Elephas maximus indicus: one gene and its partner. The protein of the gene in region 2 interacts with the protein of the main gene of each other region in a pairwise test. Links are inferred from orthologs where the notes say so. Each region holds a gene or a part of one and is shown on either strand. Other genes may lie near its edges.

What was found. The genes of interacting proteins can lie anywhere in the genome.
Region 1: the proteins of CDK5RAP3 (region 2) and TSPYL4 interact in binary tests that used the Homo sapiens proteins (3 or more experiments, as listed by UniProt). The two-hybrid records come from large-scale screens. The link is inferred for Elephas maximus indicus from reciprocal best matches to the Homo sapiens genes CDK5RAP3 and TSPYL4.

Annotation. Positions count from the first base shown.
Region 1 is NC_064819.1:182,860,610-182,871,521, forward strand, and holds TSPYL4 (testis-specific Y-encoded-like protein 4), read right to left. Parts: upstream 4,517-10,912; 5' UTR 4,188-4,516; coding exon 2,964-4,187; 3' UTR 534-2,963; downstream 1-533.
Region 2 is NC_064837.1:45,516,782-45,527,187, reverse strand, and holds the start of CDK5RAP3 (CDK5 regulatory subunit-associated protein 3), read left to right. Parts: upstream 1-6,085; 5' UTR 6,086-6,177; coding exon 6,178-6,189; intron 6,190-6,409; coding exon 6,410-6,455; intron 6,456-8,503; coding exon 8,504-8,635; intron 8,636-8,921; coding exon 8,922-9,022; intron 9,023-9,401; coding exon 9,402-9,450; intron 9,451-10,077; coding exon 10,078-10,256; intron 10,257-10,406. UniProt on the Homo sapiens protein: Substrate adapter of E3 ligase complexes mediating ufmylation, the covalent attachment of the ubiquitin-like modifier UFM1 to substrate proteins, and which is involved in various processes, such as ribosome recycling and reticulophagy (also called ER-phagy).

The sequences.
Region 1 (10,912 bases), on a different chromosome or scaffold from region 2:
TCACATACTAGCTGCCGAACAGCAAAGCTATCATTAGCCGTAACTGAAGCTGCAATGTCATTTGTGGATGTCATATTTAGATCTTCATTTTTTTTCTGTTATTATTTCTTTTGAAGCACCATATTGTTGTAGGAAAAGAATTTAAGAAGCATTCACAGATAAAATGTACAATGATTCATTCTTCCAAAGTCCCATCTTATGCTAATTAAGAAGAGAATAAGGCCTAGGGGAGCACCAAAAAGGAGCACAGTGAACATAAATTCATAAGCTGGGATGAAAACAGCATTTTAAGTGATGAAATCAATATATGGTGCTGCAATTACCACTCAAAACCCACACTGTTTAGGAAAAATGATGTTGGACAATTGGACAACTGGACAACTGCAGCTAGACTTACCATTTTTCAAGCAAAAAATCTTCAGGTTTGGTGGTGGTGGTTTCTTTTGTTTTAACTTTCAGGAAAATGCTTCCTGTGACCATTTGATAACTTTAATGATTTTCCAACTTTTCATAACTGAGACAATGCAGGCAGACTGACTTTCATTTTTATTTTTTGGTGAAAATACATGTAACAGAATAACAGACTATTTTTCCTTCAAGTACATAGGAGAAGACAACAATGCTAACAATCCTCATCTAGTCTGACAGCAATTCTACAAGTACTTACTCTGGTTAGGAACATAAAAGGTCAAGTACAACATTGCTACTAAGGTAAGAGATTATCAAGTAAGACAACAATTACATTTTTCTTTTGGAGATTATGTTCACAAGATACAGCAACAATTTCCAAAATTTTCAGACTCTACAAGGATCACATTTAGTTGAATTATATTTCTATGATTAGATCTATAGATAAACAGAGACCAGAACAAGCAAGATATATAACTAAATATTCACACAAATCTTCATACTGCATGGGAAAACAAAATCGATATTTTTGCAAACTTTCTCAATTACAAGCAAAAAGCAGGTCTGTAAACTTCAATTTTCCCAGTATGCAGAAATAGGGAAAGGAATTAACAGGATTTTACTCAGAAACGGTGACATGAGGGGCAGGTTTATCACTATCTACCACATACAAAAGGGCACTCCTAGAACAATAGAAAGAAAACATCAAGACTTGCATTTTTATTTACAAAAATCTACTGGTGAATTCAAGGAGTTAGGGAATATTGGAGGAAAACCCTCTTCCAAGCACCCTATTCAAACCCTAACCCCTCTGACTGTCCTATCCCTACCTGGGAACAGCCCCAGGGGCCTCCCCTCCCCCACAGGCCCTGCAGGTCTCCAGGCCCACTCTCCGGCAGGTGCATTCTGCTTGTGTTCAGTTTCCTAGCCTAGAGAACCTGGTGTGACCTACAAAATGTTGCCTTGGGCTTTATATCTCTAAGTAGTCCAAGGCCCAAAAGAGAATTTCCATCTTTAGAAAAATGGAGTGAAGCTAGTTTTAGTTGCCTTAAATCACATCCTGCTCTGGGTCTGTTACTTCTCTCCTCCCAGTTTCTCAAACTAAAGCTCAAGAAACCTCCAGGAGATTTGGGCGTAACAGATAAGGAAAAGGGGTGGGGTTATCAAAGTTAGCCTAAAAGAACACTGCTCATAATTAAGCAATTAACCTATAGGTCTCCCTTTGAAACTTTTAGGACTTGTTAAAGGAAATGGGGTGGAGGCATGGGGACAGAAGAGGGCACTTAGAAAGCTGAAGTCTATTTTACAGTACCTCTTTCTCCCTCTCAACACAATCAAGAGAAGAGTAAATTACACAAAAGGCCTACTTTAACAGTTTTGTTTTCTAAGTTGTAGCTGCTTTAGAGAGAGAAAGACAGGCATAACAGGCCCTGCAAGCCAGAGACACGTCTTCCTCTGTGGCACTCTTTCCATCCTGGCACCCTTGTTGTGTTCAGGGTAGGTACAGGAGGGGAGATGAGGAGGGCACCTAACAAAGTTGCCAAGATTAAGTGTGGTTTGTTGGCTGGGGCTCAGAAAGGCTGACTGCTGAAAGGGGCCCCATTCCCCTTAGCTTTGCACATTGCCACATAAGGCTGTCCAACCTGCCTAACAGCAGAGTAGGTTTATGGGTAATCATTTAAGGTTGGGGGGTGGGAAGGATGTTTGCCTGTGTGCTGGTTGGGAGCCTGGGTCCACAGATAGTACTGAGGAGGCAAACACTGGTGGCCTAGGCAAACCTTATCCAGAAAGGTGAGAGCAGGTGGGGGGGGGGGCCATAGCAGAGGCCTTCATAAACTCACCCGTAGCTGGTCACAATGCAGGGTGACGGAGGCACAGGAAAACCAATGTAAAAACATACAACACTTCTTGTCCTTTACCTCATTCATACTTAGTAGCCACCTACTAGCCACCTCCCTGTTCTGCCAGACAACCAGCAGTGTAGATGGCATGGGCCAAGGGAGGCAGCTGAAATACAGTTGATACAGGCCTGGAATGTCCAGTTTGGGTCGATGGCTGGCACCATCTATTTTAGCTTCATTTTGCAGTGGTGAAATGCAAAGCTTGCCGCAGAGCGCATGGGTATCAGGAGCACAGTCAGCATAAGGCATGAAGTCCAAATAGTTGTTTGCAAAGACCTATCAAGCTTCCTTGTGGATTTCTTGTAGATGAACACATAAAAAACTGGGAGAAGACCACAGCCACTGACAGGTTCCAAGCCATGCAGAGGAAGGCAGTGCACATCTACAGCATCATGTGCCTGGCACAAAGCGGTGGTAGGCCACGGGCTTGGAACACGTAACATGTTGCAGAAAAGCAGCGAAGGCTGAGAGGAAGCAGAAGAGCACAGACACAGAGGTGACAATCTTGCAACTGGCTGTCGAAGCTTTAGAAGAACCAAAGGACAAACCAGCATAAAGAGAAAGCAGATAAAAGTTCGCATGCTGTTGGCTAAGCACAGGTCCAAGACGAGGTGGTAAGGAAACTTGTTAAGGAGCTTCTCACAACGGCAGGAGTCAGCCAGACTGGAACCTGAAGGACAGGGGATTCTCCACTGGCTCCCTTGCTGGGCCTCGCATTCCTCTGCGGCCACCTTCACCCATCAGGTAGTACTGCAGGGGATTGGGCCACAGTTCGTCTTTGATAATCTCAGCAATCTTGTCAAATTCTTGGAGGTTGTTGTCTGAGAACCAGTTGAAGAAGCTGTGGATACTGTTTCCTTCCCGGTTCCTGTGGACGTGGGCCTGGGGGTCTTGGCCCCGGTGCCATCGGATTGGAGTGGCAAGACACACTACTCGGCCTGAGGATCTGCGCTCATATTCCTTGACGAGCGCCTCATTTCGGAAATAGGGGTTGCACTGAAAGATGAACTTGAATTTGCAGCCGGCTCTGGGGTGTTTCAGCTCCTCCAACTCCAAATTGATCATGTATTTCATCATATCTTCATCTTGGTCACTGATCATAGGTGATAGCTGGGGGTGGTTCCGAAAGGCAGTGACCCAGAAAACTGGGATATTCTGGATGATGAAGCTCCTGCGCTGCATATGGAGTCTTCGCATCCGGCCAAACTTGCGCTCCAGCTGAAGGAAGGCCCGGTCAGCCTGGGCATTTACGTTTGACAGCTCCTGATCGATGGCCTCCAGCGAGCCCGGGGAGTTACCGGTCTTCGGTACTCTGGCCGCTTTCTCCTGTTTCATCTCCCCTACAGCCTTTCTTTCCTTCTGTACCGCCTTTTCCTCCACCACCCACTCTGCTTCTCTCTTCTTTTCCGCTGCCGCTGAGATGGCGCACTTTTTAGTCGTCACTTCCTTGGCCTTCGCCCCCGCCATCATCTGAGACGCCACGCCTACTGCGCCACGGGCTTCTAGGGCCTTCTCCCCTGCAGGGCCCTGCAGCTCTTCACCAAGGTGGCCATTTTTCAGGGTGCGGTCAAACGCCACGGAGGCACAGGCGGCTTTCGGGCGTCCTGTGGGAGGTGGAGCCTTTTCCTGCCCGGCTTTGGCTGCAGCCTGGTTGCGGTTAATAGGAACTCGGAAGCGGAGCGCGAAGCCACAGTCGAAAGAACCTGCGGCGGTCCCCAAGGTGACTCCGGCCATGTCCGCCATCACCTGTGTCACATCGGATTCCCTTTGGAGCCTCCGGTACTGGCGTGGGTCCGGGTCTCCCGTGGCATGATCGGGAGTAGCGAGGTCTCGGCTTTTAGCGAAAGGGAGGTTATCGTCCCCATCCAGACCACTCATTTTGATAGAACTTAAACCAGCAAGAGGAGCGTCCCTTGTCCTTGTCCTCTCTGGAAGCCGCGCTCCTCCCCAATGAGCCCCTCGCACCACCCTTCTTTTCGTCTTTGGCTGATGCTTCCATGGCAACGGTTGACGTCAGGGCTGTCGTATCTTAAAACTTCGCGAGACCGCCTCTCTCCCCCTCCCCTATTATGCTTGTCATTCCTAGCGTATTCCTTTGTCTTCGTATTACAAAATGTGAATTTAGCCTGGAAAAAAGATTTGACTTACATAAATATAGGGTCGGAATGAGTCAGAATCGACTCGACGGCAACGGATTTGGTTTTTGGCTTTTTAAATGGAGGTAAACCAAACCCAAACAGGAACTGTGTTAATGAGGATTTCTAAGATTCAGTAGATTGTGCAATTCACAGGTCTTCCCTCCTTGTACAGATTCTTGGCTATTACCAAAGAATTGAGACATGCAGAGCTTGGTTTTTAAGAAAAGTGGAGTTTTGCTGTGTTAAGTGTGATGATAAAATTAGGAGCAGTTGAAATGGAAAGTCTGCTCATCCTAACAAGGTACAATAAAAAGATTATTTAAACCTGCCTTACAGATTTTAAAGTTTATGTACTTTGGACAACATCTATAAAGCAATTGGACAATATTTCCTCTTTTAGCTAATATGGGTTGTAAAATGTTTTTTCCTTACTTAGAGGCGGCACCCCTCCCCCCCGACACAAACACACATTTCACCCTTATTACTGAAATAAATATCATTTCAGGGTACTTTAATCTCTCAAATGTTGCATACTATATGTTGCTTATCCTCAGGTTATAATCTTCATCTAAAAGGAGTTCCTGCTGCATAATGCCTGTTGGCATGACAAAACTGGCTGCCCTCAAGTCCATTCTGACTCAGAGAGAGGACAGAATAGAACTGCCCCATAGAGTTTCCAAGGAGCGCCTGGCAGATTTGAACTGCTGACCTCTGCATTAGCAGCCGTAGCACTTAACCACTACACCACCAGGGTTTCCTGTGGGCATGAAGCTAGCAAATATTACCAATATTTGCTCTATGGTAATTCACTGCAGTAAAAAGGCAATAATCAACTGTTTGTAGCCACCTAAGCTATTAAACATCTCTTAAAATATTTGCTTATGTAAAGTAAGTTTAGCTATTAACTTTTCAAGTCAGCTCATAGAATTCGTTTGACAGTAATGTCACTACTGTCTGCTATTTGTGTTATTTGTTGGGATGTGAGAATACTGGTGTTTACCCTTAGAACAATGTAAGACCGAAGGGAAACTTAAATGTTACATATTTATGATTAATACCTTAAATTCATATTAGAGAAACAATTATAACTATTTGTAAGAGAAACTTTCTCAGGAAGCTCCCCAGATTTTGTTCACTTTCAAACACGGGCTTGGAAGAGGATCTAGTGAGAAGGATTTAGAGAGAGAAGCAATATGTATGAGACTTCTAATGAGAAACATACTCCAACTAAGGATGAGGTGCTGTTGGAAAGACACTGGCAGACACTACAAAGAAAACATCTGTCACAGTTTCATAGCTTAGCTCACAAAAGCTTTCTGGAGAATTTATAGACGTTTGAGTTTTTGTTGTGCCTCTAGTAGCCTACACAAGGACATAACTATCCAAATTGACCTCTACTGGCTGCCAGCTAATCAGTCATCCTATAAAAAATGTGCAAGCTAGAGTCATACTTCTCCAACTGTAATTACTTTTCTCTGCCCTCTTTCCATTATTAAATCTTACCTTTGAGGGGGGAAATCAATATATTGGTTTATATTCTTTGTAAACAAGTAAACAGTATGCTATAATTAAGTGTGAGACTCTGAGTCATTCTTTAGCACTGCTATGCTTCGTTTCTTTTTCTAAAGAATCTTTGAGCTGTCGAAGGAGCAATTCTTTTGGATTATAACAAGCCAAGATGCAGAGAAAAAGCAGGTGCTTACGGAAAAATTACTTTGCCATGCAGGGAAAAAAAAAAACTGTTTTCTATTTGCAACAGAAAATTATTCAATTATGTAGGGCTACTAACTGTGAACTTTTTTCTCTTGATGTATATATTAAAATTTTAAAAACATTTATATCTCTTGTTCGGTGCTGACGAGTCAGTCCTGACTCATAGTGACCCTATGTACAACAAAATGAAACACTACTCCTGTGTCATCCTAACAATCATTATTATGCCTGAGCCCATTGCTGCAGCCACTGTGTCAGTCCATCTCATTGACAGTCTTCCTCTTTTTTGATAACCCTCTACTTTACCTACAATGATGTCCATTTCCAGGGACTAGTCCCTCCTGATAATATCCAAAATACATGAATTGAAGTCTCGCCATCCTCGCTTCTAAGGGGCATTCTATTTGTGCTTTTCAAGACAGATTTGTTCCTTTTTCTGGCAGTCCATGGTATATTGAATATTCTTTGCCAACACCATAATTAAAAGGTGTCAGTTCTTCTTCCGTTTTCTTTATTCATTGTCCAGCTTTCGAATACATATGGAGCAACTGAAAATACCATGGCTTATATCTCTACTGCTTGAAATATCCCTGTTCGTAGCTTTGGCCGAGACGTACATGGGGTCGCCACAAGTTGGAATTGACACGACAGCAACAGGTTTCTTTTTTTTAGTTTTAGCTTTGACTAATCCTGTCACTTGAATCACTTTCCACTCATGACACCCTGTCCATTTTTTAAAACTCATCGCAAGTCTACCTCATATAGATTGTAGTAGGCATTTTAAATGCATTTAATTTCATAAGCAAGGACCTAGGAAGCTCAGAGAGGTTAACTGGCCCGTAGTTATATATATATATTAATTGGCAGTTTTTTTTTTTTCCATCTCCTATGTTCCTTAACCATCTTACCATCCTGATAGTCCTCTGAATTTCTATAGCTCTTATGACTTTTGCCAACCAATTTGGTATGTATGTGTTCTCTACTTTTTAACTTTGTTGGTTGTTTCATACGGGTCAGGCTCATCCCAGCTAGATAAGGAGCTGCATAGAAGTTTCTTCTTTAGCCCAGTGACTGTCTCATGGAAGGTCAAGCAAGAATTTTCTTTGGCAGGTGTCTTCTTGTTACTTTGAGTGGGGATCCAGAATCTGACTCGACTGGGAAATTTCCAGTGCTTCTGTGAGGCCTCTATTGAGCGCTTGTTTGGAGTTTGGTCTTCTTTATCCATATTTCATTTTAATTTTGATCATCTTCTTTTGTTGAGATCTCATTTGATTTTTGGTCTGTTATTTTGGCACCTCCCTTCACTTTTTTTTTTTTTTTTTTCTTCACTATGGGAAATTCTGATTTTCCTTCTTCCTCCAACATTACTGCCACTGTGGCAGTCATTCTGTCTAGTATCTCCAAAAATGGTCAGCTTTTACTAATGCAATTTAGAACTTCAGTTGCCTTTTTTGGGAAACTTGAGATCTTCACAAACTAGCTCATCTAAGACCGCTCCCTTCCCATCACTCTCCCTTATTCCTTTTTCCTTTTTCCCACCATCAACCTTCCCTTCAGCTCCCTTGAATCCTTTATCTGCCCCCCTTTAGTACTCCTACTTCTTCCAACCTTCTGTTAACCCCTGTCAGACCTTTCCCTTCCCACTCCATCCCCTTCACACTGCATATGTGTAACAGACTGGCCTTCCCCCAACAATCCCTTATACCCCTTCTTCCCTGAACCTCCTGCTCCACTCTTTGAATTTTCCTTTACAACCCAGTTCATGGACCACCTTCTCTTCAGTCCAATAAACCACTGTAGCAAGGTGCTCAGGGACCCCAAAAGCAACCATCTAAGGCTGAAAAGTTAACTGGAAACAAACTGGATACTTTATTCATCCGAATGGACTTTGGAAACACCCAGTCAGTTGGTGTCTCTGAGTTTCTACCTAAAATTTAATCCACAGCTTCCCTAAAATTATACAATAGTGCAAGAAAATCTTAAAGTCATCTCTACAAATATTTGTGGGGAAGATTTACCCCTCATATTGACTGATAACACCAACCTGTCCCATCTGCCAGAAATAAAGTTTTAGTAAAAATATAAAGGTGGAGTAGGAACTAAAGTCAGCTGTTTTATATAAACCTGTGAGTTTTATACTTTGGTGTTTATGCCTAATTCATGGCTGAAATTTTAAAGATATAAGCTCTATAGTTGTATCTGTCAGCATGTTTTTTATATATATATATATGTATATACGTATAATACATTCCTACCTCTGAATGGTATTACCAAAATTAACTTATAAAATTCCTTCAAGGAGCTCTATTTTAATTTAGAGATAAATAAGCACTTATATAAACATTTGTTTGTTAGCAGCAGTTGAGTTGGCTCTGGACTCATGGTGACCCTGTTTACAACAGAAGGAAACATTATCCAGTTTTGTGCCATCCCCATGATTGCACAATTGCAGATCAGACTGTTGTGATCTGTAGAGTTTCCATTGGCTGATTTTTTTAAGGAGATCACCAGGCCTTTCTTCCTAGTCTGTCTTGGTCAGAAGGATCCATGGAAACCTGTTCAGCATCATAGCAACTTGCAAGCTTCCACTAACAGATGGGTGGTGGCTGTGCATGAGGTGTGTTGGCTTTGAATCGGACCCAAGTCTTCTGCATGGAAGGTGAGAATTCTACCACCGAACCTCCAGATGTGCCATACTTTATGTAAATTAACATTGATAACTCAGAAGACAGCTGTTTATATTAAACAAACAATAGTAAACTAGTTTGTCACAGATTCACCAAAATTACATGAACTTGAATTTTTAAAACATTTGGGTTAGTTTTCATAGGAGTACCCCCCCCGCTTTTTTTTTTTTTTTTACTTTGGAAGTATCAGAAGTTCAGTTTTCTTAATTTCTGAGAGTTTTGGGGTATTCGACTGATAATACTCAACAAAATTAAGGGAACCAACTCTTCTCACTTCTGAAAGAGTTAGGTTAATAGCCATGGTACCTCCTATATGTACTTTTAAAATCTTTTATTATCACTCTGGTTAAGTCGGTAGTCAAGTATTCTTTCTCCATAGCCATGAACCTATTTAATCAAGTATTCAAACCTCGTGTTAGCTTTTGGCATTTTGTCTTTCCAAAATCTAATCCTAAATAATATCTTTTGCACCTAAAACTCTGAAAAATCATAAAGGATTTGTCCCTTCACCTTGTAAAAAAGAAAGGTACTACAAATAATAAGGCGTATTTGATAGGTTATGAGTTTCATGGGAAGCATTGTCAAACGAGAGATGTTTAACTTTCCCTAGGTTAAATTTATATGGACAACATGTTATTAATGTATTTTCAGAAATTGTGTGAACTTTCTAGAGATTTTTCAGTGCTCTTCCTGTCCATGATATGCCCTGGTTCTGCTTTGCCTCATGTTAGACAATAATAATGTAATCTGTCATAATTTCAACTTCTAAAATGTCGCATGTCACAGAAATACTGTATTTTTATGCAAATAGTGTGTGACTTCTATGTTTGCCAACTACTCCCTCACCCCTTAAGGTATTTTCCTAAGTGCGCTATTCTAATTTTTGTTATAAAACCAAAAACCAAACCCATTGCCATCCAGTCGATTCCGATTTATAGCAGCACTATAGGACAGCATAGCACCGTCCCACAGAGTTTCCAGGGAGCGCCTGGTGGATTCGAACTGCCAACCTTTTGGTTAGCAGCTGTAGCACTTAACCACTACTCTACCAGGGTTTCCAATTTTGCTATAGCACATGTAAAAAGAATTGGCATAGTGGAGCTTACCAAAATACCTTGCGGGGGAGGGAGCAATTGGTAAACAAATGTAGAAGGCACGCATTATATGTGTAAAAATACACTAACCAAATTTCCCTGTCTTTTACATTATTTTTGTAATGGACTCTCATCAGATCTTTCACTTTTGAAAATTATCAGTAATAAGTTAACCACGGCCATTTTAAGTCTTTTGTCCACTACATATATTTTTGTTTTACTCTGATGCTTCCCTGAAAATACTTGCAATCAGCTATAGGTCAGAGTTCTTTGTCTTCAACAAGAAGAGACTATCTCAGAGACTTATAGAAGGAACTATGCCAGGTACTGTTGGGCACAGGCTTCTGATAGCATTGATTAATAACCTTGAGACCATCCTGTTGGACTGAATCAGGATTTCCAGAACTCTAGTGGAGAATGGGGGACGGTGGTGGTTCAGTGGTAGCATTTTCACCTGCGAGACCTGGGTTTGATTCCTGGCCAATATACCTCTATCACAGTCACCACCATCCATCTGTCAGTGGAAGCTTATGTGATACTGTGATGCTGAAACAAAGGCCTGCTGATCTACTTCTGAAAATCAGCCATTGAAAACCCTTTGAATCTCAACAGTTTGATCCTGTTGTGCAGGGGGTCACCATGAGTAGGGGCCAACTCAATGGCCGCTAACAAGTGGAGAAGCTGATGGGTTCATGAAATTGCTAACACAAGATCACACAAAAGAAGAATTAACTGCATGGGAATGAATGAACTGATGAAGGATGATTATGGATTTGGTTTCGAATATTGCGGATGTTTTAATGTTCTGTTTTCTAGATATAAGGAACTCCTTTCTCTTTTCTCTCAAGCTATCTATAACCCATTACAATTGCGTAGACTGTGCTTTTGTAAACAGAAATGAAATATTTGTCTTTTTCTCCCTGCTTCATCCCTCTAGAATTTGGAAACCATTATTGAATATTCTTATTTTT
Region 2 (10,406 bases):
GCCCAGATTCCCTTTCAGGAAGGACCTTCTGCCCAGTTGTGGGAGTGTCAGCACTTGGCCTCCAACTGTCAGCTCCTTCAGGGTCTGCCTCAGTGGCAGAAACTCACCTCACAAGAAGGTGCACTCTTCTTGGGGCAGCCTACATCTGGGGACATAATAGTCCAGCCATTTAAGGCCTCCGAAAGACACTCCGAGGGACACTATTCACTCCAGAGAACCCCACCAAGTTGACCGAGGCAGTTGGACTTCTCCCTCTCCCCAATCTTACTTCCTACTGGTTCCTCTCACAGGTATTAATCCTTCATAAACATCTTGCCCCCCACACTCCACCTGCTTCTAGAGAACGCAACTCGTGACACAGACATTTTAATTTGTTGCCAGTAGGATGGAAGTGGTAGATCATTGTGTCTCTTATGTTTGCACCTCCCTCATTTATGGTGAGCTGGAGCATCTTTTCATATGTTTATTTGTCATTTGTATTTCATGTTCTCTGAAAAGGGTTTCAAGTTTTCAAAGCAGAAAATCTTGCCCACCTCCCCATATGATAGTTGTCCTTCTAGTATCTGCTGACTAAAAAAATACAAGTGCCTTTATGGATTCCTGCATCCTTTCATAATTCCACAGTCTTACAGGGGTCTGCTACCCACTGCCTGGGAACCCTGGTCTATAGGACTAAATTTAAACCCTTTATCATGAACTAGAGGGCTCTTCATGGTCTCCCCTTGCAACCTCTCTGGGATGGTGAGTTTTATGTGTCAGCCTGGCTAAGGTAATAGGACCCAGTTATCTAATCCAACACTAATCTAGGTATTGCTGTAAATGTGTTGTGTAGATACGTTTAACATCTACAATCAGTTGAATTTAAGTGAAGTAGGTTACTCTCTATTATACGGATGGGCCTCATCCAATCAGTTGGAAGTCCCTAAGAGCAAAACAACTGAGGTTTCTGGGAGACGTCCTGCCTCAAACTGTATCGTCAACGCCTGATTGAGTTTCCAGCCTGCTGGCCTGCCCTACAAATTTTGAACTTGCCAGCCACCACAATTGCATAAGCCAATTCCTTAAAATGAATCTCCAGATAGATAGATGGATATAAAGGTATATAAATATGCATGTATCTATCTATCTATCTGTCTGTCTGTCTATCTAAGGAGCCCTGGTGGTGCAATGGTTAAGTGCTCAGCTGCTAACCAAAAGGTTGGCAGTTTGAACCCATCCAGCTGCTCCACAGGAGAAAGACCTGGCAATCTGCCCCTGTAAAGTTTTCAGCCTAGGAAACCCTACGAGGCAGTTTTACTCCATCACATTGGGTTGCTAACAACAACGGCAACATCTACCTATTTATCTATCAAAATATCTATCTATTTATCTGTCTACCTATATACAATACAGCTAAATCTAGATGGATAGATAGACAGACAGGTAGATACAGGGGGAGTCCCTGAATGGTATAAACAGTTAACATGCTCAGCTGCTAACCAAAAGGTTGGATGTTCAAGTCCACCTAGAGGAGCCTTGGAAGAAAGGCCTGATGATCTACTTCCTAAAAAATCAGCCATTGAAAACCCTGTGGAGCACAGGTCTACTCTGACACACATGGGATCACCATGGGTTGGAATCAGCTCCATGGTAACGGTTTTATAGATACGAAAAACCAAACCAAACCCAGTCCTGTCGAGTCAATTCCGACTCATAGTGACCCTATAGGACAGAGTAGAACTGTCCCACAGAGTTTCTAAGGAGCACCTGGTGGATTTGAACTGCCGACATTTTGGTTAGCAGCCATAGCACTTAACCGCTACGCCACTAGTGTTTCCTTTATACGTATAGATATCCTATTTAGAACCCTGATAGACACACTCTTCACAATAAATTCTCTCCAATCTCCCCTTAAGCATCCTGTGTTCCCAGAATAAACTTCTTCAGGAATAGCCATGCTCTCACTTATCTCTATGCTTTATACATTTTATTCCCTCTTCTCAGAATGATGACCATTATTCATCCCCTGCACCCCCCCCCCCTTGCTCCTCTCCCTTCTACCACAATTCATACCATTCCTGCAAGATGCAATCCAAGTGCTACTTCTCCCAGGAGGTAGCTCTGATGTTTTTCCACCCCCATCCCATGCCTTTACCTCCAGTTTGAGTCAGAAACTCCTCCTTTCAGCTCCCTGAGCATCTGAGTATATCACTTTTTTGGTTTGTATGGAATTTTTTTTAAATCACCTACCATGTATGAACATAGTGCTGGGCTCTGGGGCTGCTGTCATGGTGGTATCTTCACACATCATACTTCCCTTAATGACAGGGACTATGTCTTCTTGTTAAGGTCTCCAGCACCCTGGAAGACAGTGCTTGGCAAATAGAGGGTACACAACATTGAACTGCATAGAAAGAAGGCAGATAGATGGGTCATTTGGCCACGGACTTGGTTTTCCTTCTCCTGGAAGAGCAGATCCCCTCACCCACTGTGACAAGGATGATGAGAGAATGAAATGCAGTGTCTCCTTCGAAGATGGCACATCTGATCCATTTCATGAGGCCACCCAGTGAGCTGTTACTCCCCAGAAGACTAACAATGCTGAAAGGACCTGGAAGGCATGGCTGGCCAGGGAGAAGGGAGCATTCAGTGGCCCTGGAGCACAACCCAGCTGACTGGCCTCAAATAGGCCTTCACTGGTGTGTGCTTAACTCAAGCCAGCCAGGTCTGATTTCTTCCCTTTGGTCCCAAGAGGCTCAGGGAGGAAAGGGGCTGGGGAACTTCCCCCCGACCCCCAGCCCATGCCCAGACCTTCCAGTCCAAATCATCATGGTCCCCATTCATCATGACCACGACCATCATTAAATGCCTCCCTGCTCACGGCTGCACCTTTTCCTGCTCCTTTCTTTAAAAGCATCCACTAAGCATCACTCAACTTCAGGTATCACGCAGGGGCTGGGGTTACAGAGATGAGCAAAACCGAACGCCCTGCCACAAGTGGTTCACAGACTAGGTGGGAAGATAGAATGAGGGAAAAAAAAAAAAAAAAAAAAACCCACACACAGAGAGATTACACTTCAAACAACAAGAAATCCAGACTAGGCTGTTGTGTTTCCGGGGCTTCTAGCCCATCAGGCAGATAAATACACACACACACATACATACAGCCCATGTGGCCACAAGCAGACACGCAGGAGACATACAGACCATAAAATACTATATATATCACGGACAAAAGAAGTGGCTTATTTGTATGTCAAAGGTAAGCCCTCTCTTTATGGATCTTGCATGAGGATAAGTAATGATCGCCCAGGATCAGGTGTGGTAAGAAAGGACTTTGGAAAAAGGGGCAGAGACTGTTGGGTAGGGGGACGGTTTCCAAGTGTCTGGTACAACTGGGGAGAAAGTGGGACTCAGGGCAAAGGCCAAGAGGGGAGAACTGGGACTGTTGTGGCTAACAGAGTGAATGGGGCAGGATAAACAAAGGCTCATTTCAGGGAGCAAGAATGCAGGCTGGGAAGACAGACAGGCCTGAGTCTGAATCCCAGCCCCACCAATTACCAGCGATATGACCTTGGACAAATTACTTAACTAGCCAAGCTTTGGCTTTCTTGCCTTTAAAATCTGGCTAATAACAGTATCCACATTACAAGTGTGTTGGAAGGATCAAATTAGATAAGGCTTGTAAAAGTAGTTAGCTCTACACCAGTACGTGGTTATCACTTAATAAGGAAGCTTCCTGGGGCTCTGTGCTTCCCATCCAAAGCTGGCACAGCCCTGGTTATGTCCTTCCCCACCTCCCTACAGGGCTGCCCCTCCCCAGACAGCAGCCCTGGGCCTTCTCCGCCCACAAGCTCCTGGAATTCCCTGTGGCCTTGGAAAAAGAAAGCCCAAAGCCCATGCTCCTGTGCTCTCTGGGGCTGCCTCCCTGAGGCTGACAGCTGAGAACTGCTCTGGAACATCATTCTGCCCCATGTGAGTCACCTGGGGAGACTGTGGGTTGGGGTGAAGTGCCAACAGTCTCTGCCTCCACCGCCTCACCAGGGTGGGTCTAGAAGACCCACCCTGCCCGGCTCTGCCCAGTCTGTTGGTTCAAGGAGGAAAGACGCGCTTTGAGGGTGGGGCGGTGTCATGCTCCTTGGGTTGTCCCAGAGAGCCCAGAACACACAGCTGGAGCCAAGTGTTTGTTGAATCATGCGGGAGCCCAAGCAATTCCTATAGCCTGAGTCAGGACTCTGAGAACGGAGCTAAAGTCCATGAGAGAACCCTGAAGAGGCCTTCCTTCTGCCCTGTGAGCCTTCTTCAGGGAAGCTGGGGATAGGGAATCACTGTCTGTCAGCCCATTCTACAATAATAATTATATGTATAATGTTTTTTATATATGTACACACACATATACATATAGTTTACAAAGCATGAGAAACTCTGTCTAAAGTATATTGTGAACTGCAAAGAATTATGTACATCTAATGTATTTCTTTCTTTAAGCCAATAAAGAGAAATACCCTGAGATAGTCAGGATAGGTGCTATTGCCAAGCTGCAGTTGAGGAGATGGTGGTTATCTGAGAGGTTTTGGAAGTGGTCCAGGATCTCACTGGGCAGGAACCCATCAAGGACATGGTGAAACCCATGTGAAATTGTTCACCACAGGTTAGTAAGTAAACACAATTAAGTTTGTGTGTACCTTGCTTACTGTGGCCAGTGTGTATCTTGCTTACTGGTTAATTTGCCCCTGCGAGCATCAGTGACTCCAGACCTGTAAACCCAACTGCCTTCTGCACACTTTCCACTTGGTGGTCTCCCAACACCACCAACCCTGCAAGTTCAAAGCTGAGATTCCCTCCTCTCCAACACCTGCTCTGCATCCTGCATCCCTATCACAAGAGGTGGCACTCCCGCTCCACCCAAAGTGTCATCTTTGGTGTCTCTCTCTCCCACTCTACCCCTAGCCTATCAATTGCCAAGCTGGTGTCCGTTTTCCTCCTAAACATCTCTCACATCCAGCACTTCTCCTCCTCCCCATGGCTCTGGCCGAGTTTGGGCCCTAACCTCTAGATAACCTCCTGACAGTCTCCCTGTCTCCAGACATGTCTCCCAGGAATTACTCCTCCTTGCCGCCATTAGAGAGATCTATCAAGAATGCCAATCTGTGTAGGTCCCTCTGCCTGGAACCCTTAAAGCCCTTCCGTGTTTCCTCTCTGACTGCAGGGGGTGAAGTCCAAGTTCCTTAACAAGGTTTCTCTATGATTTGACCCTTCCACCTTTACAGTCTTATCTCAGGCCTCGCCCTACCTCTAACTTTTTTACTGCAGGGAGGCTGGCTTCACCGGAAGGGCACTCATGTAGTCACACAGAGTCCTGCACTCAGTTTAATGCTCTGCTTGGTTCTTAATAATTGTTGAACAAGGGGCTTTGCACTGGGCCCCCCAAATTATGTTGCAGATCATGCCATGTGTTGTTCCTTGCACCCCTCTTGCAGTCTCTGGCTCCAAAGCTTTGTCTGTGCAGTCTCCTCACCCTAGACAACCCTTCCTATGAACCGCCTATTCTGCAGCTCTTCCTTTAAGACTCAGTTTAGTTGTTATCTTTGAGATGCTCCCCCTAACCCTCCTCTCTCCCTCTTCTCAGCCTTCATCGCCCAACACACATAGCCAGAGTTAAACATCTCTATTAGATAAACTGAATGGAAAGACAAATGTGACAAGTGCCACAGGAGATGTTCATACTACTATAGACAGTAAAGCAAGGCAAGGTGGGGGGAAGAGAATTAGTGGGACCGGTCGGTCGGCGCTAGGACCTCGAGTACCGACTTATTAATTCCTGCGAAAACATCTCAGCGCCCTCCTCAGGTGGAAGCGGCCGGGGTCGGCTCTCGGACGCCGCCTGTCGCAATCGTGCAGCCGCTGCAGCCCTTTTCAGGCTCCCCGCCCCGCCCCGGTCCTGAGCCCGCCTCGCGTCTCCCATTGGCTGCTTCCCGTTCTCCCGCCCCTCTCGGGCTCAGCCATTTGGAGTCTGCCGGGGGGTGGGGCTTGGGGCCAGGGGTGGAGCATGCGCCCCGATTGGTTCTGCGGAAGGCGGTGACGTGGCCGAAGGAGGCCTGTTTGTGCCAACACCGAGGATCAGGCACACCGCCACAGGATTGGTGGTGGGGCGTGGCTGGCTTGGGTCTCCTGGCCGGAAGCGGAAGTGGCGGAGAGATGCAGGTGGCGGTACGGTTGATGGGGGAGTGAGGGTCTGGCCTGGGACCCCTCGACGGTGTCCGTCCCCGACCCGCTCCCCCGGCCTCGTCCCCGGGCGCGACCCTCCCTGGCCCATTGTTCCAGTCCTGCAGGGTCCTGCAGGGTGGCGGTTGGAACCGTGAAATGAGCGCGCGAGTGGCGTGTCCCCTCTCGGCACTTACGCCCCCCTCCCCGCTGTGTTTCCCGTTAGGAACATCAGCACGTGCCCATCGACATCCAGACCAGCAAGCTGCTCGGTAGGAGGGAGTGCTTCCGCGCAGCCGGCTGTCGGGGGCGGGGAGGCCCGGTTCTTTGCCCCCAGTCGCCGCCAACAGCCAGGAGTCCTGACTCCTGATGGTTGAGGCACTGACCACTAGCCAAGCCAGCTTCTGTGCGTCACCTATGATCATACCTGCCTCGCTAAGAGGAATGGGAAGGAACCAAACGTAGAGTCCAGCACTTGACTTGCGTTTTCTGTTTTAACATATGTCATCAAAACGTATCATTTCGGTACAGAGAGGGTAAACGTCTTGCCTTAAAGACATCCGTCTACTAAGTGGCAGACCCGAAGTTGGCACTTCAATCTGTCTGGCCCTGATGACCATGCATTGTTATATTATGCCAGAAGAAAGCTTTCCCTCCTTTCTTCTTACAAGCTTCCATCTCCCCTTGATTTTATGCATCGAGGGGCGTAAGACCCAGTTGGAAATAAGACCTTGTAGTGGCTAGGCCATCTCTCCGCTGTCTGTATGTGGTCCACATGCCTCCTCCCAGTTCAGAGCAGGGGAAGGACCTCTTCCTTCTGTTCCAAGCCTTTGCTCAGCTGTTGCCATTTTTAAATGTTTATTGGATTGATAGATTTGATGCCAGTCTTGTCCTTAAGAGGGTGTCTGACTATCTCAACCATTTGATTCTAGTCCTGTGACATCTGTAGAATTATTCTTTCTGGAAACTTGAGAAATACAGGAGAGGAAATATAACTCATACTAGAATGGGACTCCAGTGTTTGACCAGTGGCTGATTTAGTTAACAGTTCCGGGCCAGCATCTGGGATTCAACACTATACGTGCCCTTTAGTTTGTCCTGTGCAGTGGTCTTTAGCTTCGTTTCACATTTGTCGCAGCTCTTCAGCACGTGTGTACCTTGGTGTATGAGCTTACTGTTGGTTATGAAATGGACCAATAAAACAGCCGCCATTCATTGAGGTTTTGTTCTATGCCAGGCACTGTTTTAGGTACTTGACATTATAAAAATGAGGATCACTAAGATTTCTTGAGTCCTTGCCGTGTGCTAGGCATAAGGGTGAGTGTTTTACCTACATGACTCCTTGTATTCAGTATCTCATTATCCCCATTTTCCATGTGGGGAAACTGAGGCACAGAGAGGTTTGAGAGGCTTGCCCAAGAAATTAGAGAATTAGAGTCTAGGACCATCTCACCACAATAGCTGTCTCCTATTTAGGAAACGTGTACATGACTCTCGGTCCACCCATATTCTTGTTAGGTACCCTTGAGTTGGTTCCAACTCATAGTAGTCCCATGTGACAGAGTAGAACTGCCCCATAGGGTTTTCTTGGCTGTAATCTTTATGGAAGCAGATTACCGGGTCTTTCCCACATAGCCACTAGGTGGGTTCGAACCACCAAGCTTTTGGTTAGTAGCCAAGTGCTTAGCAGTTGTGCCACCAGGACTCCTTGATCCACCCGTACCTTCCACTAAAAATACAAATCTGGGCTCAAACTCCGGGAGGCCAGTCACGTTGGTATTCTCATGTGCAGGGTGGCACTTCACTGTTAAGCATAGATGAGTGTTACCTAGTCCTTGGGGCGCTAGAGGTATTAGGGGCTTTACAGTTGTTCATTCATCCGGTAGTTAGCATAACCGTCTTGTATTTTCCATTGTCATGGTTAATCCCAGCCCTGAGGAAGTGGAAGTTGAACAGCATCCTCTTTTAGCAAGAAAGATATAATTACCCATAGAAGCAAAAATATTATGAAGACTTTAGAGTGTCAGAAATGGCACTTTCATGTCAGGATCAATTTAAAGTTTTGGTTTTTATTTTTTAATCCCTGTGTCAAGGCAGTTCCTCTATAAAAATCACCCTGAGGATGAAGTCAGGTTGCTGGAGTCTATTCAGCCCCAAGCATCCCTTTGGGTTTGTCTTGACTCTCATTCTCCCATGACCCCTATAGCTTAACCAGTATGAAGAAAACCCGCACCCAGTGCCTCAGCCTGTTCCACTTGGATTAGTGATGGGTTTTGGTGGTGGGAGTGGGAATGCTGTGATTTGGGTGTTTTTCGTATAGACTGGCTGGTGGACAGAAGGCACTGCAACCTGAAATGGCAAGGTCTGGTGCTGACAATCCGAGAGAAGATCAATGCTGCCATCCAGGACATGCCAGAGAACGAAGAGATCGCCCAGCTACTCTCAGGATCCTGTGAGTGCTTTGGGGCTACATTGCTGGAGTCCCTGCTTCCCAGAACAGTATGTGTCAGCTGAGCTGCTCCCCTGTTCTTAAGCACTGGGCTGACCCCCAGAAAGATTTTTGTTTGGGGTATAAATGATGGTTTCTTCCAACACAAAATAGTAAAAAGGGAGAGCTGTGCATGTTCATCATTAACTGGCAGTTCACATGAATCAGCCACACGCCATGTTGTTGTCAGAGCAGGTGGGAAGTTCTTAAATTGGAATTCTCAAAGTTGTCACTCTTCTTTGCTTCCCAGACATTCACTACTTCCACTGCCTGAGAATTGTGGACCTTCTTAAGGGCACTGAGGCTTCCACGAAAAATATTTTTGGCCGGTATTCTTCACAACGAATGAAGGCGAGTGTGGGCTGAGGGCTGGGAACGGGCAGCTAGTGACCTCCAGCCTATGGATTTAGAGCCTCTCTAGTTTTTCTGAGGATCTGGTGGGAGACTCTGATTTAGAATATTTCCTCAACTATCCCTGTGTCCCCATAGCTCATGCCAAAAGTAGATCCTACCCCCTGGGTTGACATTTTCAGACCTGCCACTTTGGGGATCACTTGTTGGCACCATGCTCTTAAAGTGGGTGGTCCAGCCAGCGTTTTAGGAGTTGAAGGAGGACAAGGAGTTTATGTTTGATGTGAAGACTGGGAGGGCTTCCCCTGCTGAGGGATTGAGCTGGGATATGACTGCAGAGTGCTTTTCTGGCTCACTTCCTGTTTCTCTTCCTACTCAGGATTGGCAGGAGATTGTAGCCCTGTATGAGAAGGACAACACTTACTTAGGTAAAGTGGCCCAGTCCTGGTGACTGGGGGGAAACCCACCCACTCCAAGGGTTCTGGGACACCAGGTTTATAGAAGGCACAGCTGGTGTCTGGGAAGAGGCAGGGGTGTAGATGTTGCCTCTTGGGGGCAGGGGAGGAAAAGGAAGCAGAGTAGGTAGGCCTGAGTAGGGGTGTGAGATAGAGTGGAGTGCCCCCATCCCTGTCCTGTGGGAAGAAGAGTCATGCGCCATCTTGGGGACCACCATCTCGCACCTGACAGGGAGCAATAAAGGGCTGATTGTGGTTCGGCTTATGTTTTGTAATAGTATAAGTAATAACAATAATAGCAGCCAATATTTTACTGAGCACCCATTATATGTAAGGAGTTGTGCTTGGTATTTTGCATGGATTTCCTTTTTTACTCCTCACGATAGGTATTATGGGTCTTGTAATATTAATGTCCCTGTTTTACAGATGAGGAATGGACCAGAGAGGTTAAATGACTGGTTTTAGGTTCCACAGCTAGGAAGGCAGCAGCTGGGAAGGCAGCCCCATGCCCTTCACCACCACGAGGGCATTTGTGTGTCCTGGGGCATGCTGGCCTTTTGGTGTGGTTGGCCTGAGGTGTATTTCCTGGGCCCTTCTTAGTGGAACTCTCTAGCCTCCTGGTTCGGAATGTCAACTATGAGATCCCCTCACTGAAGAAGCAGATTGCCAAGTGCCAGCAGCTACAGCAGGAGTACAACCGCAAGGAGGAGGAGGGCCAGGCGGGGGCCGCCGAGATGCGGGAGCAGTTCTACCACTCCTGTAAGCAGTACGGCATCACGGTGAGCAAGCCAGAGGGTCTCGTTGGGGTATGGAGCACCCGGGCTGTCTGCCTTCCTGGGACCAGTCTAGTCTAAGAGGCCCCAGCTCCTTAACTGCTGGGAAGAACTCCCTTCTCAGCTCAAGTTGTGCTCTTCTTGGGCTACTATCTG